Linked DNA regions of Macaca fascicularis. The protein of the gene in region 1 interacts with the protein of each later gene in a biochemical or structural test. Links are inferred from orthologs where the notes say so. Each region holds a gene or a part of one and is shown on either strand. Other genes may lie near its edges.

Region 1 (3,515 bases):
GTTTTGTTCACAGTGCAAGGAAACCTTGATACATAAACAATAAAATCTGGTCTTTTCTAGATATTTTCTGTTCCAGTCTCCTTCTGTCTCCCCCAGCTTACCCTGGTTCCTGGAGCTCTTCTTTCTGACTAGTTTATACTCTTTCCACCCCGGGCCAGGACTGAATTAGTTCCCTTAGCTTCCTTGGTTGCAGAAGTGAATCCTTTTGTGTCTGGTACAAGATCTGTCACTTGGTTTCAGATCATAGCTGTATGGGTGAACCCCCACCCATTAGTGACCTGAAGTAGTCTCATGAGTCCCAGATAAATGTGCACCCACAATGCTGCCCCTCAGTTAAACCCACTCCAGGGCCGTGTTTTTCCCTGTCTTTACCCAGTCCACATGGACCTTGCACCTTGGTGTGAGTTAATCTCACTCTCAAACCTTTATTTCTTTCACATTCAACCCTCATTTGAAGCCACAAACAGGAACTTCTAACCTCCCAAACTGGTTTTTTTAATCTCCGCCTGCGACCTCAGGAGTTACAGCTCCAGGCCTTCTTTTCAGACAGTTGCCTCTCTTTGCATAGTGCTGACATCACATTGTAATAGTGGTAAATCTGCGCCTGGATTGCATTTCAGTTGTTCTAGCCCTAATAGACTGGGAATGCCAGTTTCAGAGAGGAGGACTAGAGCAAGATTAAGAAAGAAATACAACAGAACAGGCATGTCCTGAGTCCTGTTGAAGGTGAGAGGAGAGAGTTGTATACCCTCAGAACATTGCTTCTAGGGGTTTATAATCCCAGTGCTAGGAGGATCCTTGAGAGTAAGGGATAAAAATATAATGCATATTGTTATATTCAGTATATTATATGACAGGGATCTCTAAATATCAGCTCATGCTCATATTTGGGTTATTGTAGAATAGGACCGTATAGTAGTGGGATGCTTTTCTGTGCTTAGCACAGAACCCTAAGTAGAGAAGCCAAGATGGACCTTGAATTTCTCAGTGAAGTTTAACACTTCCATGAAGAAGAATGAGCAGTTTCCCACTGTGTGCATTTCAGCTTTCCTTCTCGCCCACCACGCCAATGAGCAGCCACGGTCGAGTCCTGTCCCTGTTGGTTGCCATGCTGCTTTCTTGCTGTGGACTGGCGGCCGTCTGCTGCATCACCGGCTACACCCACGGAATGCACACCTTGGCTTTCATGGCTGCAGAGGTGAGATGCTGGACGCAGGACTTTCTCAGATTGTGTTTCTGTCTGTTTTCAAGGAAGCTGGATGTTTGACAGGTTATTTTCACCCAGGAAATGACAGATGGATATTTGGTCTTTCATTTTAACAAGCATTTCAGTTCCTTTTTGTGTGCTGGGTACTGGTACTGAATGCTTTTGTGTGGTATTTTATGTAATTCTTTCTTTACATAGGGGATAAAGATTTTACAAAATGATGAATATGTAAATTTTGAAGGAAAAATCTGGTCTATTCATGAATACTTTAAGATTTAAAAATTTTTTACTCTTTTAAACCTTTCTGAAAATACCAATTTCTGTTCAGTAGAAATAAAAATTCTCCAGCCTGGCCAATATTGTGAAATCCCATCTCTACTAAAAATACAAAAAAAAAAATTAGTTGGGCATGGTGGCGCACGTCTGTAGTCCCACGTGCTCGGGAAGCTGAGGCAGGAGAATTGCTTGAACCCAGGAGGAAGAGGTTGCAGTGAGCCAAGATCACGCCACTGCACTCCAGCCTGGGTGACAGAGCGAGACTCCGTCTCAAAAAAAAACAAAACAAAAATTCTTTGTATGTCCTTATATTTAATGGCTGTATTTGCTTTTTCCTTAGTCCAAAGGCAAAATACCCATAATTAGTATTGTTAATTAAAAAATGAGATATTAGATAAACTGAAGCTAATTGGCTAATGTCAAAACACTTACTAAATGTGAACTACTAATTGGGAATTTGGTAGAGCAGAGTTAAAGTTTATTTCTGTTTGACAGCATTCATTTTGGAGTACATTTAGTAGTGTAAGTAAAATTAGAAAAGGAACATTTAAATATATAATGTTAATTATCATATTATAATATAATTAAAATACAATAGTCCTAATATAAACACTAGGATATGTAATCTTAGGTGAATACTTTCTGTATTTTAAAAATATGCAACTGTATTTCATCTTGACACAAAACCTGTTGAAAAATCTATTTATAATGACTTATTGCTTTAGGTATATTATATTGCAAAGCACAGTTAGAATGCTACTTACATTTGCCTTCTTTTGGTTCTCTAACTTTCAGCTAATATTAGTCCAAACTTTGAAAAGGATATACCTAAAAATAAACCCAATTAACTTAGGCCTGTCAGATCATACTATAGTATATACTTTTATTTTAGCTTGTTAGTGTTTATTCTTTTAAGATAATTTATCATATTACAGATTTGATATTTTAAACTAAATAATTTCTTATATTCATAGTGTTTCTCCTGTAAAATATTTTTCACTTACAAATGGGAATTTAATCTAAAACATAAACAATGTAATAGTTTTATTCTACTAGATTAAGAGGACTTTGTTCTTTTTTTTTTTTTTTTTTTTTTTTTGAGATGGAGTCTCGCTCTGTCGCCCAGGCTGGAGTGCAGTGGCTGGATCTCAGCTCACTGCAAGCTCCGCCTCCCGGGTTCACGCCATTCTCCTGGCTCAGCCTCCCAAGTAGCTGGGACTACAGGCGCCCGCCACCTCGCCCGGCTAGTTTTTTTTTGTATTTTTAGTAGAGACGGGGTTTCACCGTGTTAGCCAGGATGGTCTCGATCTCCTGACCTCGTGATCCACCCGTCTCGGCCTCCCAAAGTGCTGGGATTACAGGCTTGAGCCACCGCGCCCGGCCGAGGACTTTTTTCTTAATGAAAAATATATATATATATTTTTTGAGACAAGGTCTCACTCTGTTGCCCAGTCTGGAGTGCAGTGGTGCGATCTCGGCTCACTGCAACTTCCACCTTGTGGGCTCAAGTGATCCTCCCTTTTTAGTCTCCCCAGTAGCTGGGGCCACAGGCATGAACCACCATGCCAGGCCAATTTTTGATTTTTTTGTAGAGATGGGGTTTTGCCGTGTTACCAGGCTGGTCTTGAACTCCTGAGATCAAGCAATCGGCCTGCCTTGACCTCCCAAAGTGCTGGGATTACAGGTGTTAGCCACTGTGCCTGGCCATCAATTTCTATAATAAAAAATACCCTTCAAGACCAGCCTAGCCAACATAGAAAGACCTTGTCTCTACAAAAAAAAAAAAACAAAAAAAGTCACAAGAGGCTTATTTTGTCTGCCCCTCCCCTCCCCCCTTCCCCTTCTCCCCTTCCCCCTCTCCCCTCTCTCTTCTCTTCTCTCTTCTCTCTTCTCTCTTCTCTTCTCTTCTCTTCTCTTCTCTTCTCTTCTCTTCACTTCTCTTCACTTCTCTTCTCTTCTCTTCTTTTGCTTTTGACAGAGTCTAGGGTCTGGCTCTGTCACCCAGGCTGGAGTGCTGTGGTGCAATTTCTGC
Region 2 (3,515 bases), about 580 kb from region 1:
GTGGGGAGAAAGCATATACCTACAAAACTATCATTATATATAACATAATGACAACCTACATTTGGTCATTTAAATATATGATTCTAGAGACTACAGAAAATATTAACTAAATGTTTGATTTGAAGAAACCAATTAAATCCCAAGTCTTAAAACAAATATAACAAAATATTAGCAATGATTAATTGTGGATATTTGAGTGTTCATTATATTCTAATTATTTTTTATTTTTAAAAGCTAAAATAAAAATCCATTTTTACTATAAAGGAAAATTTCTTCTTTTAGTTTCAACCACGAAGACTCATCACTCCAGGCCAGGCTTTCTCAGCTTTCGCACTAGTGACATATTGAGCCAAATATTTACTGTGGGAGTTGTCCTGTGCATTGTAGAAAATTCAGCAGCACTCTTGCTTCTACTAACCAGATGCTAGCAGGACCACTTCCCCTAGATGTGACAAACAAAAATACCTACACATTGCCAAATGTCCCCTGGGGAGAGAGAGTACAAAACCACCCCCAGGTGAGTACTGCTCCAGGCCACAGCTAAAACCAAATGTCAGGTATGTGAAGATTCCCTTGCCTTTCAGGGCTATGCTAACAGTCAGTGCCTGACCTTTACCCTGGAAGGCAGCTGTGGCCTGATAAAGGCAAATATGTTCTCATTCAAAACAAATACAATTTGCTGTTCCATGCCTCAGTATGGCTACATAATTCTGGTTTGTGAGCCTGGAAGGTAAGGTAGCTTATCTAGAGGACAAGAGAATATTCTTGTATTAATACAGGATTGATATGTTCTTGGGACCATACAACCAACCAAGGCATGAATTCCTTGTGCTGAAAGTGCCAGAATGATATACTATTTATTATGTATTTATTCTAAGACAGGGTCTTGCTCTGTCACCCAGGCTGGAGCACAGTGGTGCGATCTTGGCTCACTGCAACCTCTGCCTCCTCAGTTCAAGCAATTCTCCTGCCTCAGCTACCCAAGTAAATCACAGGCCCGCGCCACCATACCCGGCTAATTTTTTGTATTTTTAGTAGAGACGGGGTTTCACCATATTGGCCAGGATGGTCTTGAACTCTTGGCTTCATGTGATCCTCCTGCCTCGGCCTCCCAAAGTGCTGGGATCACAGGCGTGAGCCACTGCGCCCAGCCACAGAATGATATACTATTTAAACACACCTCCTTCTACAGTAACTGAGATTGCTCAAAAAAGAGCAAATCTAGCCAGGCGCAGTGGCTCACGCCTGTAAAACCAGCACTTTGGGAGGCCAAGGTGGGCGGATCACTTGAGGTCAGGAGTTCGAGACCAGCCTGGCCAATATGGCAAAACCCCGTCTCTACTAGAAATACAAAAATTAGCCAGGCGTGGTGGCAGGTGCCTGTAATACCAACTACCCAGGAGGCTGAGGCAAGAGAATCGCTTGAACCCGAGAAGCGGAGGTTGCAGTGATCGTGCCATTATACTCCGGCCTGAGTGACAGAGCGAGACTCTGTCTCAAAAAAAAAAAAAAACACAAAAAACAAAAAAGAGCAAAATCTGCTTAGTGTGAACACAATGTAGCGTAATTTGTATTAGAGAAACCATCTGCTTACAGGTACATAACAACGGTGGCCCCCATGACCATGAGGAATCTGCTCAGGGAGGAGTAGAAGTAGAGGATACTGAGAAAAACAGAAAATGTAGCTGCTGAATAGGTCCAATCCAACCAATCTCGATTTATTTCATCATCTTCTTCCACAATAGGGCCACCTTGTGCATTCATCCGCAAATTTTGATTGGCTCCAGGATTAACAACCACTTGAGGAGCAGCATTCTGATTGGCTGGCTGGTTTTCAGCTGGAAACTGGTTGTGAATAGGGGCTGGAGCAGGTGCAGAGACCACAGGTATCTCTTGTGCACTTGGTGGTGGAACAAAAGCCCCCGATGCAGCAGTGGCTGCTAAACTAAAATAAAAATGACAGAGGCAGATACTGTTGAGACCAAAGCACCGTGAAGGCTGTGGCTTATTTACACAGCAGTCTTTTACTGTTAAGAATTTGAAGTAGGTAGATATGCATTTGATTTTCCTTCAATTTAGTGAAGAACTTCCTTACTAACTATATCTATAAATGCCTTTTCTAAGAGAAGCCACGTGGTGAATTTCACCTGGAATTAAACATCAAGGCCACTGTAAGATTATGGCACAGTAGCAAATTAAAATCTTCACAAAACTTTGAAGGTACCACAAATTGAAAAGAAAGTAACATGTTCTAAATAAAGTCACTAAACTGTGTATCAGACAAAAACACCCTTGTGTCAATATACAAATCAGGTAACAGCTGTCATTTACACTCTACTCCACCCACAGACCAAACAGAGCAGGGCTCTGCAGACTGATGAAAATACATTCATCCCTCCATTCTGAACTTGACAGGTAACATGGATAAAATTCCTCTCAATTCCCGGGAGCCCTGGCCACACCCAGCACAGCGGGAAGGACTCACTATTGCATGTAGTACTGTCGCGCATATATCTGCTGGAACCAGGAAAGCTGAAGCCACCCATAGGGTGTGTAACCGGAGAAACCAGGACCCAGGCCTTGGAATGCCTGCTGGGCAGCTTCAGGCCTATACACAGATTTAAAAAAACACTCATTTTGAGTGGGTTGAGTATGAGCAAATGAAAACTAAGTTTAAATTAAAATCTAGAATTCAAATGGAAGAGACAGAAGAATGGGATTTATGGCAGTTACATGGTAAATGACTGTATGATGCACCCATGTACCATAAGCACGGAAGGTACTAAATGACACAGCACTTCTACCACAGTCCTATCCCACAGGAAAACAACAGCCCTTGCCACCTACTTGCTGAGTGCATGTATAAACAACCTTTTGGGGTTAAGTAGATAGATCCCTGCTCAGTTTTGACTTGTTGAGTCTCACTGCAAGTCTCAACCCACTGTTTATCTTTTAGAGGGCAGCTCAAAAGTCACATTTCTCCCAGTCTTTCCTGAAGGAAATCTCTCCCATCCTCCTGATATCCACACTTCTTCCTCCACCCTCCATCTGTATCTATAGTGATGTGTGCATGTGGCATCACCTGCGCATGCTTACTGACTACCTGGGGTCCTGTACAGGCTGCTGTATCCACAGCAATCTCACGAAGGAGATTTTACAAGGGGAACCCAAGTACAGCTCAGGGAAGACAGGGGCTTTACACAAGGTCACCGAGCTAGTTAAGTAGCAAGGCTGGATTTCAGAGCTGGTCTGATGTCAAATGCACGCTTCTTCAATCAGGCCACACAGCCCTCAACTTCATAGGGCAGGTGTATGTGGGTTATCTTTGGCTTTGTGCTTCTTACACAGTGTATTTCTTCAGTAGCACATCACAAAATTGAAAGCATAATAGAATTGCCCGAAGATCAGAAATTGGTTATGTGGTCATTCCTGCAGGTCAACTCATATCCTTAAGCACAGTTATATGTACTGGCTGTTCAATAAGTATTTGTTAAAGGAAATCAAGTTTAACTATG
Region 3 (4,246 bases), on another chromosome or scaffold:
GGACATTATATTTTCTGTCTGGCTCCCATGGGAATTCCCAAGAGACTATGTGTCTAGAAACATCAGTGACCCCTTTCCAAACACAAAATGATACAAGTTTATTTACCAGACTCTCCTGTGATTTCGAAGATTAAAAAATGGCAAAGAAGATGGGGTCTGGAATCAGGTGAATGAAGAAAGACTAAGAAGATAAAAAAGTAGCAAAAAAGGTCCCGGCACAGTGGCTCACACCTGTAATCCCAGCACTTTGGGAGGCTGAGGCAGGTGAATCACCTGAGGTCAGGAGTTCGAGAACAGCCTAGCCAACATGGTAAAACCCTGTCTCTACCAAAAATACAAAAATTAGCCGGGCGCAGTGGTGGACATCTGTAATCCCAGATACTTGGAAGGCTGAGGCAGGAGAATCGCTTGAACCCAGGAAGCAGAGGTTGCAGGGAGCTGAGACTGCACCCCAGCCCTCCATCCTGGGCAACAAGAGCAAAATTCCACCCCAAAAAAAAAAAAAAAAGTAGCAAAAAGAGAAATATTTTTCCTAACTAGAGACTGATTCTTGGGAAGTACCAGAGTGTTTATACACAACTAATCACAAGTCTATACATAGCTTTCTTATATCCAGGTAATATCATGTTTTAGAAAACCATGGACCACCCCACATGCAATTTGTCTCCAAGTATTACAGAAATAAAGACATAGATAGCTAGGGCCGGGTGCGGTGGCTCATGCCTATAATCCCAGCACTTTGGGAGGCCGAGGCAGGCAGATTACCTGAGGTCAGGAGTTTGAGACCAGTCTGACCAACTTGGAGAAACCCCATCTCCACTAAAAATACAAAATTAGCCGGACATGGTGGCACATGCCTGTAATCCCAGTTACTAGGGAGGCTGAGGCAGGAGAATCACTTGAACCTGGGAAGCGGAGGTTGCGGTGGGCCGAGATTGTGCTATTGCACTCCAGCCTGGGCAACAAGAGCGAAACTCCCTCTCAGGAAAAAAAAAAAAAAAAAAAAAAAAGACATAGATAACTGTGTCCAAGGCTTTAAGCTCAAGAGACTCAAGATGTGACACCAAAATTAGTAATTTCACTCAACAGTCTATCAAGGACCTATCTCCAGTATGGGTTCTGATTTCTACCCTTTAAAAACACAGAATAAACCTGACTGCTTTCTATCAATAACACATACTTGCTTAGGGTCCCTGTGCTGTTTCCCTTCCCAAAGGCCAGAGCCATGTCTGTCCCTTTGGGCTGGGGTCCACCCGTGATGATGACACACATCTTCCTTCCTCTGTATTTCCCTCTGCATTAAGTTCTATCTATGTGAAGGACAGAACAAAATCAGCCTCACTCACAAAACATCAGAAAACGTTCGACTGGAATACGAAGGGATCAATAAAAAGAAAATCTGAGGCCAGGTATGGTGGCTCATGCCTGTAATCCCAGCACTCTGGGAGGCAGAGGAGGGCAGATCACCTGAGGTAAGGAGTTCGAGACCAGCCTGGCCAACATGGTGAAACCCCGTCTCTACTAAAAATACAAAAATTAGCTGGGTATAGTGGCACACACCTGTAATCCCAGCTACTCAGGAGGCTGAGGTAGGAGAATCGCTTGAACGTAGGAGGTGGAAGTTGCAGTGAGCCAAGATCGCGCCACTGCACTCCAGCCTGGAAGACAGAGTGAGACTCCATCTCAAAAAAAAAAAAAAAAAGAAAAGAAAAGAAAGAAAATCTGATCACCAAAAATCAGGCTCATCTCTCAGGCTAAGGAGCCTAAACGAGGAAAAAAAGCTAAAGGTGTCTTCCAGAACTACTGAGTTGTCTCACCTGGGCCCCCACAATAAAGGTCCGAGTTTGAGAGTCCAGCGTCTTCACCAGCACCTCCAAGCTGTCAGGCTCCTCCACAGAGGTACTGGTACTATCATTAGGCTCCATGGCCGACAGGTCTCTAAAGAAGAACGAAGGAAAGGAGGCCCGCTGTTGCCCAGCAGAGTGTACCCGGAAGACTCCCTAGCGTTAATCCCTGCCCCAATACCTAAAAAGTTTCTCCTACACACACACACACATTCACACCTGTCCCCATCCCCCCCTCTGATTCTGGGGCGCAGGGAGAGAAACACAAAAGGGCAGGAGATCGACGGCATAGGGAGCTGGAGGACGAGAGGTGGGAGGGGCTCCATGATGCCAATCACAATAAGCGTGGAGCCAGTCAAGATTAGGAAGGAAGCACGAGACCAGAGACTAGTGTCATCACCGGTCACGGCAGGACAAGCACCCCACAGGTCGGAAAATCCTGGGACTACGCGAAAGCGGTGGTCGCGCCACACTCTGCGGGGAAAGTGGTTTCGCGCACGCGCGCCACGCCCATCGAACCCTCCTAACTCTCTAGACCCGAAACGGCACTCACGGGGCCACCGACCTGCTAGCTGACTGCCCGCGTCTCCTGCCTTCCCACGGTGTTCCAGCAGAGCAGCACAACTAACCCACAGCCAAATACAAACACACAAACACACACACACCCCCACTACCCCGCGGCTCCGCCCCCGACTTCCCCACGGACCGTCACTTCCGGTCTCCCCCAAACCTGCCACCGACGGCCACTTCCGTTTCCCGATAGTATTTGGGGATCTCGAGGCGATACTTCCGGCTCCCCCCAGGTCCCCAAGCTTTACTTTTGTGGGGCACGACGAGAAAGTCCGCAGCCCCAAACAGTGAGTTTCTGAGGGCGAGTCGGGCCGGGGCCGGCCTAGGTGGGAGGGAGCCGAGCACCCAGAGGAGCCGCCGCCGCCGTCGCCCGGGGGACCGTACTACGCCTGCGTGTGTCGCACTACGCATGCGTAGACACTTAAGCATTGCCCCCCCCCCCCCCACAACCCCCTCGGCGGCGTTCACGTCTGTGCGCGCGCTTGAGCGCTAGAAGATTGAGGTGGCTACCGTAAATGCCTGTAAAACAATCACCAACTGGGACTCTACCACTGCTTCGAGAGGGGCTATGGACGGTCGTATGGACCTTGGACTTTGGAGATGGGGGATTATGCCACATTAATCTATGTTTAAATCTTGGCAGGCTGAGAATTTCAGGCGGCACTGTCCTAGCTAGCTAAAACTCTTCTCCACCTTTTCGCCCTCGCTGCGCCCTTTCGTCTGTGCCTCCGGAAGTTACTGTTACAGTAGGCGTTTGGGGGCGGCACGGGGCGATTTTGTTCTTGGTTGGTTGGGCTAGATTTCAGTTCCGCCGGGTGGGCGTTTTGCGGGCTGTGGGCGTCACATTCGTCACCGGCGGTGTGTGGCCAAGGGGACATGACACGTTTTAGGAAAACTAAGCGTGCTACTACATTGCAAGATTTTTGTCAAGAAAAGAGGCGCCTCCGAGTTTGAGAATTGGGAGCAGATGGAGTTGGAGTGGACAGAAAGACAAGACCCTGATCGTGGAGAATTTAAAGGCCGGCCAGCGTGCTTCCGAAGGCCGGGGGTGGAGGCATTACCGCCTCTCCGTGCCCTCTTAACCTGCCCTGGGACAAGGGCCTCGGCCCTGCGAAACTTCGAGTCCTCCCGAAAGACACATCGCTGCTGGGGTGCCCAACCTTTCTGAGATTCGTAGTTTATACCCAGGTCCTGGTTATGTTTTAGTTAAGAGTTCTAATAAGCATCTGTTTAATGAGCACTTGTGCCAGCCGATATACTACGGGTTTTGTGGGGGTTTTTTGTTTGTTTTGTTTTGTTTTTTTTGAGACAGAGTCTCGCTCTGTCGCCCAGGCTGGATGCAGTGGCGCGATCTCGGCAACCTCCGCCTCCCGGGTTCACGCCATTCTCCTGCCTCAGCCTCCCGAGTAGCTGGGACTACAGGCGCCCGCCACCACGCCCGGCTAATTTTTTGTATTTTTAGTAGAGACGGGATTTCACCGTGTTAGCCAGGATGGTTTCGATCTCCTGACCTCGTGATCCGCCCGCCTCGGCCTTCCAAAACGCTGGGATTACAGGGGCAGGCCTTGTGTATTATTTTAAAAAGCCTTTTAACATAAACCTTTAACATTTTTTAGGTGAGTACACTAAGACGAACATGAATGTCAGAATTGACAAATGGAGGCCAACAGGACTCCAGATCGAGCACTTGTACTTTACTGCCCCAATAAAAAAGTGTTACATTTTAGCTTTTTTATGTATTTTTTTGAGAGAGGGTTTGGCTTTGTCGCCCAGGCTGGAGTACACTAGCTCAATCACAACTCACTGCAGCCTCTGCCTCCCAAGCCCAACCG
Region 4 (3,365 bases), on another chromosome or scaffold:
TATAGAAATGCTACTAATTTTTGTATGTTGATTTTGTATCCAGCAACATTACTGAATTTGTTTATCAGTTCCAATAGTTCTTTGGAGTCTTTAGATTTTTCCAAATATCAGTCTCCTTTGTAGCTGAGTTTACAGGTATGTACCACCATGCCTAGCTAATTTTTGTATTTTTAGTAGAGATGGGGTTTCACCATGTTGACCAGGCTGGTCTTGAACTCCTGACCTCAGGCGATCCACCTGGCTCAGCCTCCCAAAGTGCTGGGATTACAGGAATGAGCCACTATGCCTGATCAAAAATGGCATAATTAAACTATGAATATTCTTTCTAAACAATGGGTAAAGTCACAGCGGATTAACTTTCACCTATGTTAATAATCAAATTCTAGTTCTGACAAACGCCCCATACCAACAGTGATTACAGTGATCAAAAATATTTACTTGTTGGTTCTCATTCAGTTCTATAGATTTCTCGTTAATATGCAGGAAAGCATCTGATAATACTTTTGTAAAGTGGTCTTTATTGATTTAATATAAAACTTATTATAGAATACTCCAGGTAAAACATGAGATATAAATGTCACTGTTAGAGCCATCAAAATAATTCTTGTTTTCATTAATAATTGTGGATGAAATTATTGAGAAATGTTGATTCTCTTGTCAGAGCTCAGGAGGAGTTAATGGTGCTAACTAGGGGTGCTTGAACCAGGCTGGAGATAGTCCTATGAGAAGCAGAGGAGCCAAATCTACCTCCCCTGCACTAATTTGGTCATCTCCTTTATATTCCCAAGTATAACAGTCTACACAGACAGTGAGAGAGCTCAATGCATGTACAGAATCCCTGGTTATTTATGCAGTACATTGGATGAAGCCCGTCTTCATTTCAGGGTTCTATTCACAAAGTAATTTGAGGTCTCTCGTGTTCTGGGGCACAGCTTTCTTGAAGAGCAAAGCAGAAGTCCTTAGTAAAATTCAGGCTCCACTTACGGTCCCATCCCTTGACTCAATCTTTAGAACAATGGGTTTTTCTGTTTGAAGAAGTCCTCCTAAGCGTAATTTCAGTGGGATCTGCAACAGTTAAAAAAGCGTATTGAGTAGTATTAAATAAAGCAAATGTAGAAAATATAGCATCAAAGTAAAAAAATGCAGTAATGACAATAATGCTTGTAAACATATAAAAACTACTTTCAGCACTATAAATCTTGGATTCTTTACACTTATTCTATAAGATGTGTGAAGATTGGATAGTGAGAGCATTCATCATCTATCATTTAACAAAATATTTATGGAGTACTCTTCTGTGCCAGGCCTGAGACAAATTCATGGGAACCTGTGTTCTTTATTGATTTAAATTGTAAGTAAAATGGATGAGTTTTTAAAATTTAAACCAGATTATTAAGTATGATGGCAAACTATTTTTGAAGAGTCATATAAAGTTAATTTTGTGTATGTTGAAACTTGCAAGGTAATCCTAAGTAGTTATTGTACATTTTAATTATATGGACAGTCTTCAACTTCCAGAGTCCAGTAATTCCTCCCAGTTGAACCTGTCCAGTGTAAAGATGGGAAGACACCTTCAGGAAACATCATCGTTTTATTTTTTATCTTCTCCTCTTGGCTCCTAAGGGTAGTGCAAGTGGGGAACCTCTCAATTCCTACAGTGTTTTGACTCAACTTTTAGCCCCATTCTTATTGAGACACTGCTTCAGTATTGAGGGGACGCAACAGAGTGATATTCTGATCACCATGGAGTAATGGGCATGAAAATGGCCATGGAGATCAAGAAGTGCCAGCTTGGGAGCTTACCAAGGAGTACCTTCCCCATCCCAGGTGTGCCAGAGGACCACTTTTATTCAACGCTGAGTCCCCTGTCTGAGCACATATAGGATAGCTACACAGCTGGCCTAAAGTCACCAATCATATGGAATATGAAAATAATATGGAAACTATTACTACCTTCTTCCTCTCCTATATAGAAAGCCTACCTAAGGGGTGGAGTTGAATAATAAATACGTGAGACTTAGAAATAAGATTTATAGGGTCTTGTTTAATATGAATCAGTGACATCTGTTCTTTAACTTCTTCAGAGAAAATATCTTTCTATAAATATAACACCTTACTATTTAAAAATTTTCAAAACCCAAGAATGTTTTCACTGCAGACAGACATGCATGTGCACATGTGCACACACACACGCACACACACGCGCGCGCATATGCATGAATAGCATTTGTTAAAGGTTCACATTAAGTAGCTTAATATATGTATGCAAGCCATCAACTGCACATCACTCCTTAAACATTGACCAAATGCTTGCGTTAGATACAGTCCCTTGCAAGGCACCACTGGGATATTTTAAAAGGAATAAAATGAGAGGATATTGTTAATGGAGGTGGGAAGACATTCTTAGATACACAGAAAATATAGAGAATAAAACTCAATGATTCAATGGCAAATTGTGAAATTATATGATAATAGCCTCCAGTATCCAATAACAGAGCAGAGAAGTAAATGGGCCCTGGACTAGGAGGAGAAGACACTTTGGAGGGGCTTGGAAATTGAACTAGGACTTGAAAGATAAGAACAAAATGAGGAGAAAGGGAACAACATTAATAGAGTTATAACTGGGTTGAAATGGAGCCCAACTGAATGGAGCTAGGCACCTGGAAGGTGAGGTCAGTCAGGATGGCCTTGGACTGTGGTAGCCCTTCATGTCCACCAGAAATGCCTTAAATTAGTCATTCTCAACCTTGTCTTCAGATAAGAAACAATGGGGGAGCTTTTAAAGCTACACTCTGGGCAAATTAGTTTAGAATTTCTGTGATATCCCAGGCATCATGAATTTTTAAAGCTCCCTGGTGATTCCAAGGTACAGTTAGTGGTTGGGAGCCACTGTCATGAGAAAATTTCTGTAAGTTCTGGTAGGGGAGAGCAGCATTCAAAAGTCACAACAAGGTAATCATTGCACTTTATGATTGTGCAAAATACTTCCCCATCTTTCCAATCAACTTGAAACTGAACTTAAACTTTGCTCAAGTTCAAGGAGACTGCAGATAATCATGCCATGCTAATCTATATGGACTTCACATGATGTTTTTAATGCTACAGCTTTTGACCTCGAGAACTGAAGCGCCCTTAAAGATCACAGATGGGTCCAAATTGATTCCTTGGCCCATAGGACAAATTAGTAAAAGATTAAACAAGCATATTCTTTTTAAAAAATATAGACCTTTCAGTTAAAAGAATTCTTAATAAAACATTATTTTTATAGAAAATTGACTAACCTGTGTTTCTTTACAAGGTTTGAAGGAGAAGTTCTGAAGGACTCTGATTATAGCAAGTTTCATGTTCATGAGAGCAAACCTCAT
Region 5 (3,944 bases), on another chromosome or scaffold:
AGCTGGGAGTATAGGCGCCTGCCACCAGGCCGGGCTAATTTTTGTATTTTTAGTAGAGACGGGGTTTCACCATGTTGGCCAGGCTGATCTCGAACTCGTGACCTCAGGTGATCTACCCGCCTTGGCCTCTCAAAGTGTTGGGATTACAGGCGTGAGCCACCCCGCCCCGCCGAAACCTCCCATCTCTATAAAGCAAATAAAAAAATAGCAGGGCATGGTTGTGTGGTGTGTACCTGTAATCCCAGATACTAAGGAGACTCAGATGGGAGGATCCCTTAAGCCCAGGAGTTCCAAGCTGCAGTGAGCTATGATCACTGCATTCCAGCCTGGGCGACAGAAAGAATTGCTGTCCATAAATAATAATAATAACACGGCCGGTTGCGGGGGCTCAATAATAATAGGGCCAGTCGCGGTGGCTCATGCCTGTAATCCCAGCACCTTTGGGAGGCTGAGGCCGGTGGATCACTTGAGGCCAGGAGTTTGAGCCCAGCCTGGCCAACATGGTGAAACCCCATCTCTACTAAAAATACGAAAAATTTGCCGGGCGTGGTGGTGGGCGCCTCTAATTCCAGCTACTCAGGAGGCGGAGGCAGAAGAATCACTTGAACCCGGGAGGCGGAGGTTGCAGTGAGCCGAGATCACGCCACTGTACTGCAGCCTGGGCGACAAAGCGAGATTCGGTCTAAAAAAAAAAATCTTTTTGTGCACTCTTCATGTAAAGAGAATTATCAGCATATATTGCCTCTATTTTGGTGTTTGGTTAAAATGGGGCACACCAGTACTAACTTCGGCTTTCTAACAATTCCTAATTCGCACACCATGTGGCAGTGTTAGATGGCTTTTGGGCGCTCGCCAACGACAAGACATCTACCACTTCTTTTGGCCCCTTCGCTCCCATATCCATTACTTCAATCCAGATGCTGTATTTGACCCTCCGCGACCTCTTTGTCATGGCGTCCGCGGGGCGTCTACCAGCGGAGACTTGGGCTGGCAGCCGGGCGTCGACCTTCCCAAAATGGCGACGACAGGGACAACTGCGCTTAGGGGGCGGGGTTCCGCCGCCGGGGGCGGGGCGGGAGGCCGAGGGGTCGGGCTAGCGGGCGGGACGCTTCCCAAGTCGGCTGTCTCAGCGCGCCTGCGCCGAGCGGCCCTGCGCGCAGTGAGGCAGTGGCGGGGGAAGGCACCGGTGGGGCCGACGGGCGGGTTGAAGGAGGGAAGCGGGCGAGCGAAGTCCCAGTGCGCGCCGCGGCAGCCCGGGCACCCTCCCCTTCCGGGCGTGAGTCGCTGTGAAAAGAGCTGAAGCGAGCGGACTCGCACCGGCAGCGAGGCGCCGCTCCCGCCGCCTCAGCCCGGCCTCCCTCGGCTCCGGCGCTCCGGTCGCGGGGCCCGGGTTCCTCGGCACACCCCGCTCCAGCCGCCCCCAGAGCCTGTCCCCAGCCCTTCGGAAGCCCCGGCGCCAGCCCGGGCCCTCGGCGGGGAGGATGACGGAGCTGCAGTCGGCACTGCTACTGCGAAGACAGCTGGCAGGTGAGCAGGCGGGCGGCGGGCCGCCGGGCTCGGCCGCGATCGCAGACAGCCGCTGCTCGGTCCCTCTTCTCCTCCTCCCGAGCCAGCGGCCGCACGGCCGAAGGGGTCCGGGCCTGCGAGGGTGGGTACCTCGAGGCTCCGGTCCCGGCCGGGCCCAGCCGTTCTCGCCTGGCTCTCGGAGGGCATTGGGGGCGGGGACGCGACCCAGCTCCGGGCCGGGGACCGGGCCTGGCGCCCGGGGGATCGGAGAGGAGGCGGCCCCCCTCCCCCACCGTTCTGTAGGACGTTGCGGGGGAGGGGCTGTGTGCGGATCCCCAGGCCGGGGCCGCCAGCCTGGAGGGGCGGGTCCCGGGCTCAGGTGCTGCCGGGGTCGCCGGACCTTCGGGGCCGGCTGGAGCGTCCGGGCCCAGCGTGGCTGCGAGTCCCAGGCTCGGTGTCTGAGCCGCAGGGGGCGAGGGCGGGCGGAAGGGACCTGCCCTGGCGGGATAGGTGAGGCGCACAAAACTTCTCCCCGGGCGGCGCTGGGTCCGCGGAGTTGGGGCCGACAACAAAAGCGCCGGCCTCGGCGGCCTCCACGCGGGCGCGCGGGTGCCGGAGACCCTGGCGGGGTGCGGAACGCCGCCTCGCCTGCCTCCGCCTGGCACGGGCTCCGGCTGCGCCGCCCGGCTGGGGGAGGGTAGGAGCGGGCCGCGGGGAGAGCCGCTCGCTGGCCGGCTCCGGGCTTTGTGCTCGCCGCGATTCCTGCTCCTGCGCAGGCCCGCAAACCCCGGAGCTGCGCCCGCAGACTCTGGCCCGGGGCGGCGGCCGGGTCGGCCTCTCCGAGGAGCCTGCGGCCCCCCTCCCCCATTGTCCCGGCCTCCGGCCGTTTGCGGCTTCCAGGTTGACTTTTTAGGGGGTTGGCTCCTACTCTGCTAGGACTGTGTGCGCAGAGCATGCGCACTGGAGACGTCCGTGTGCGGAGTGGAAGGGGGGAGGCGGGTTGGTGGCTTCACAATGCAGCCCCACGTGCTGCCAGATTTAAAGAGAAATGAACCAGCAGTTACCCCTGCTGTACAACGCCCGGCGTGTGTCATTCTCAGTTCAAGCGATCTTCCCCCTACCCACTCTACAACCAGTAGCCTCCGGCCCTCAGCAGAAGCCAAAGACTGGAGTGATGAAATCTGTCTTTGAAATACATTTACTAAGAGTTTGAGGTGTTCGTTAAATCACCTTTATAGCTTCTTAAGGAAAAGATTGTCAGGGGTTCTTACAGATAGTATAATTGGGTTTATTATTAGACCATGAGCAAGCAGGTTTGGACAAGTATTAAAGTTCTAGATGCTCGGGGGAGTTCGCTTCCAGTGAATGGAGAAGTTCTAATGATACTACAGGATACTCATCAAAATTATGTACTGGAAAAGCACTGAGGCCGGGCGCGGTGGCTCACGCTTGTAATCTCAGCACTTCGGGAAGCTGAGGCGGGCAGATCACCTGAAGACAGGAGTTCAAGGCCAGCCTGGCCAATGTGGTGAAACACCCGTCACTACTAAAAATACAAAAAATTATTCGGGCGTGGTGGAGGGCGCCTGTAATCCCAGCTGCTCGGGAGGCTGAGGCAGGAGAATTGCTTGAACCCGGGAGGCATCGCTGCAGTGAGTTGAGATCGCCCCATTGCATTCCAGCCTGGGCAACAGAGCGAGACTCTTCAAAAAAAAAAAAGAAGGGCCGGGCGCCGTGGCTCATGCCTGTAATCACAGCACTTTGGGAGGCCGAGGCGGGCGGATCACGAGGTCAGGAGATTGCGATCATCCTGGCTAACATAGTGAAACCCCGTCTCTACTAAAAATACAAAAAATTAGCCGGGTGTGGTGGCGGGCGCCTGTAGTCCCAGCTACTGGGGAGGCTGAGGCAGGAGAATGGCGTGAACCCCGGAGGTGGAGTTTGCAGTGAGCCGAGATCGCGCCACTGCACTCCAGCCTGGGCGACAGAGCGAGACTGTCTCAAAAAAAAAGAGAACTTTATTCCATCTTTTTTTAAATTTTGAGGCAGAGTCTCACTCTTATCACCTAGGCTGGAGTGCAGTTGCGTCATCTCGGCTCACTGCAACCTCCGCCTCCTGGGTTCAAGTGATTCTCCTGCCTCAGCCTCCCGAGTAGCTGGGATTACAGGCGCGCACCACCACGCCCGGCTAATTTTTTGTATTTTTGGTAGAGGCGGGTTTTTACCATGCTGGCCAGGCTGATCTCCAACTCCTGACCTGGGGATCGCCCGCCTGGGCCTCCCAAAGTGTTGGGATTACAGGCGTGAGCACCGCGCCCGTCTGCATCTTGACATTTATAAACACCTTTTCTGTATACTTTTTTGTTTGGAGGAGGGAATTAAGATTTCCCCAATTCTTTAATCAGAATAAGTTTTATGTGGTGAATTGTTAAACAACT

The links.
Region 2: of the proteins of AMFR (region 1) and HERPUD1, one has a biochemical effect on the other in vitro, tested with the Homo sapiens proteins (6 studies listed by BioGRID and IntAct, with this or other methods). The link is inferred for Macaca fascicularis from reciprocal best matches to the Homo sapiens genes AMFR and HERPUD1.
Region 3: the proteins of AMFR (region 1) and BAG6 form a complex in vitro, tested with the Homo sapiens proteins (2 studies listed by BioGRID, with this or other methods). The link is inferred for Macaca fascicularis from reciprocal best matches to the Homo sapiens genes AMFR and BAG6.
Region 4: of the proteins of AMFR (region 1) and CYP3A4, one has a biochemical effect on the other in vitro, tested with the Homo sapiens proteins (4 studies listed by BioGRID). The link is inferred for Macaca fascicularis from reciprocal best matches to the Homo sapiens genes AMFR and CYP3A4.
Region 5: the proteins of AMFR (region 1) and UBE2G1 form a complex in vitro, tested with the Homo sapiens proteins (7 studies listed by BioGRID, with this or other methods). The link is inferred for Macaca fascicularis from reciprocal best matches to the Homo sapiens genes AMFR and UBE2G1.

The regions. Positions count from the first base shown.
Region 1 is NC_088394.1:52,467,229-52,470,743, reverse strand, and holds part of AMFR (E3 ubiquitin-protein ligase AMFR), read left to right. Parts: intron 1-1,045; coding exon 1,046-1,198; intron 1,199-3,515. UniProt on the Homo sapiens protein: E3 ubiquitin-protein ligase that mediates the polyubiquitination of lysine and cysteine residues on target proteins, such as CD3D, CYP3A4, CFTR, INSIG1, SOAT2/ACAT2 and APOB for proteasomal degradation.
Region 2 is NC_088394.1:53,043,269-53,046,783, reverse strand, and holds part of HERPUD1 (homocysteine-responsive endoplasmic reticulum-resident ubiquitin-like domain member 1 protein), read right to left. Parts: intron 2,609-3,515; coding exon 2,486-2,608; intron 1,946-2,485; coding exon 1,595-1,945; intron 1-1,594. UniProt on the Homo sapiens protein: Component of the endoplasmic reticulum quality control (ERQC) system also called ER-associated degradation (ERAD) involved in ubiquitin-dependent degradation of misfolded endoplasmic reticulum proteins.
Region 3 is NC_088378.1:140,070,508-140,074,753, reverse strand, and holds the start of BAG6 (large proline-rich protein BAG6), read right to left. Parts: upstream 2,812-4,246; 5' UTR 2,551-2,811; exon of another isoform or gene 2,410-2,550; intron 1,939-2,409; 5' UTR 1,926-1,938; coding exon 1,818-1,925; intron 1-1,817. UniProt on the Homo sapiens protein: ATP-independent molecular chaperone preventing the aggregation of misfolded and hydrophobic patches-containing proteins.
Region 4 is NC_088377.1:48,404,223-48,407,587, forward strand, and holds the end of CYP3A4 (cytochrome P450 3A8), read right to left. Parts: coding exon 3,282-3,365; intron 1,066-3,281; coding exon 970-1,065; 3' UTR 502-969; downstream 1-501.
Region 5 is NC_088390.1:4,427,233-4,431,176, reverse strand, and holds the start of UBE2G1 (ubiquitin-conjugating enzyme E2 G1), read left to right. Parts: upstream 1-1,142; 5' UTR 1,143-1,481; coding exon of another isoform or gene 1,482-1,527; intron 1,528-3,944. UniProt on the Homo sapiens protein: Accepts ubiquitin from the E1 complex and catalyzes its covalent attachment to other proteins. In vitro catalyzes 'Lys-48'-, as well as 'Lys-63'-linked polyubiquitination. May be involved in degradation of muscle-specific proteins.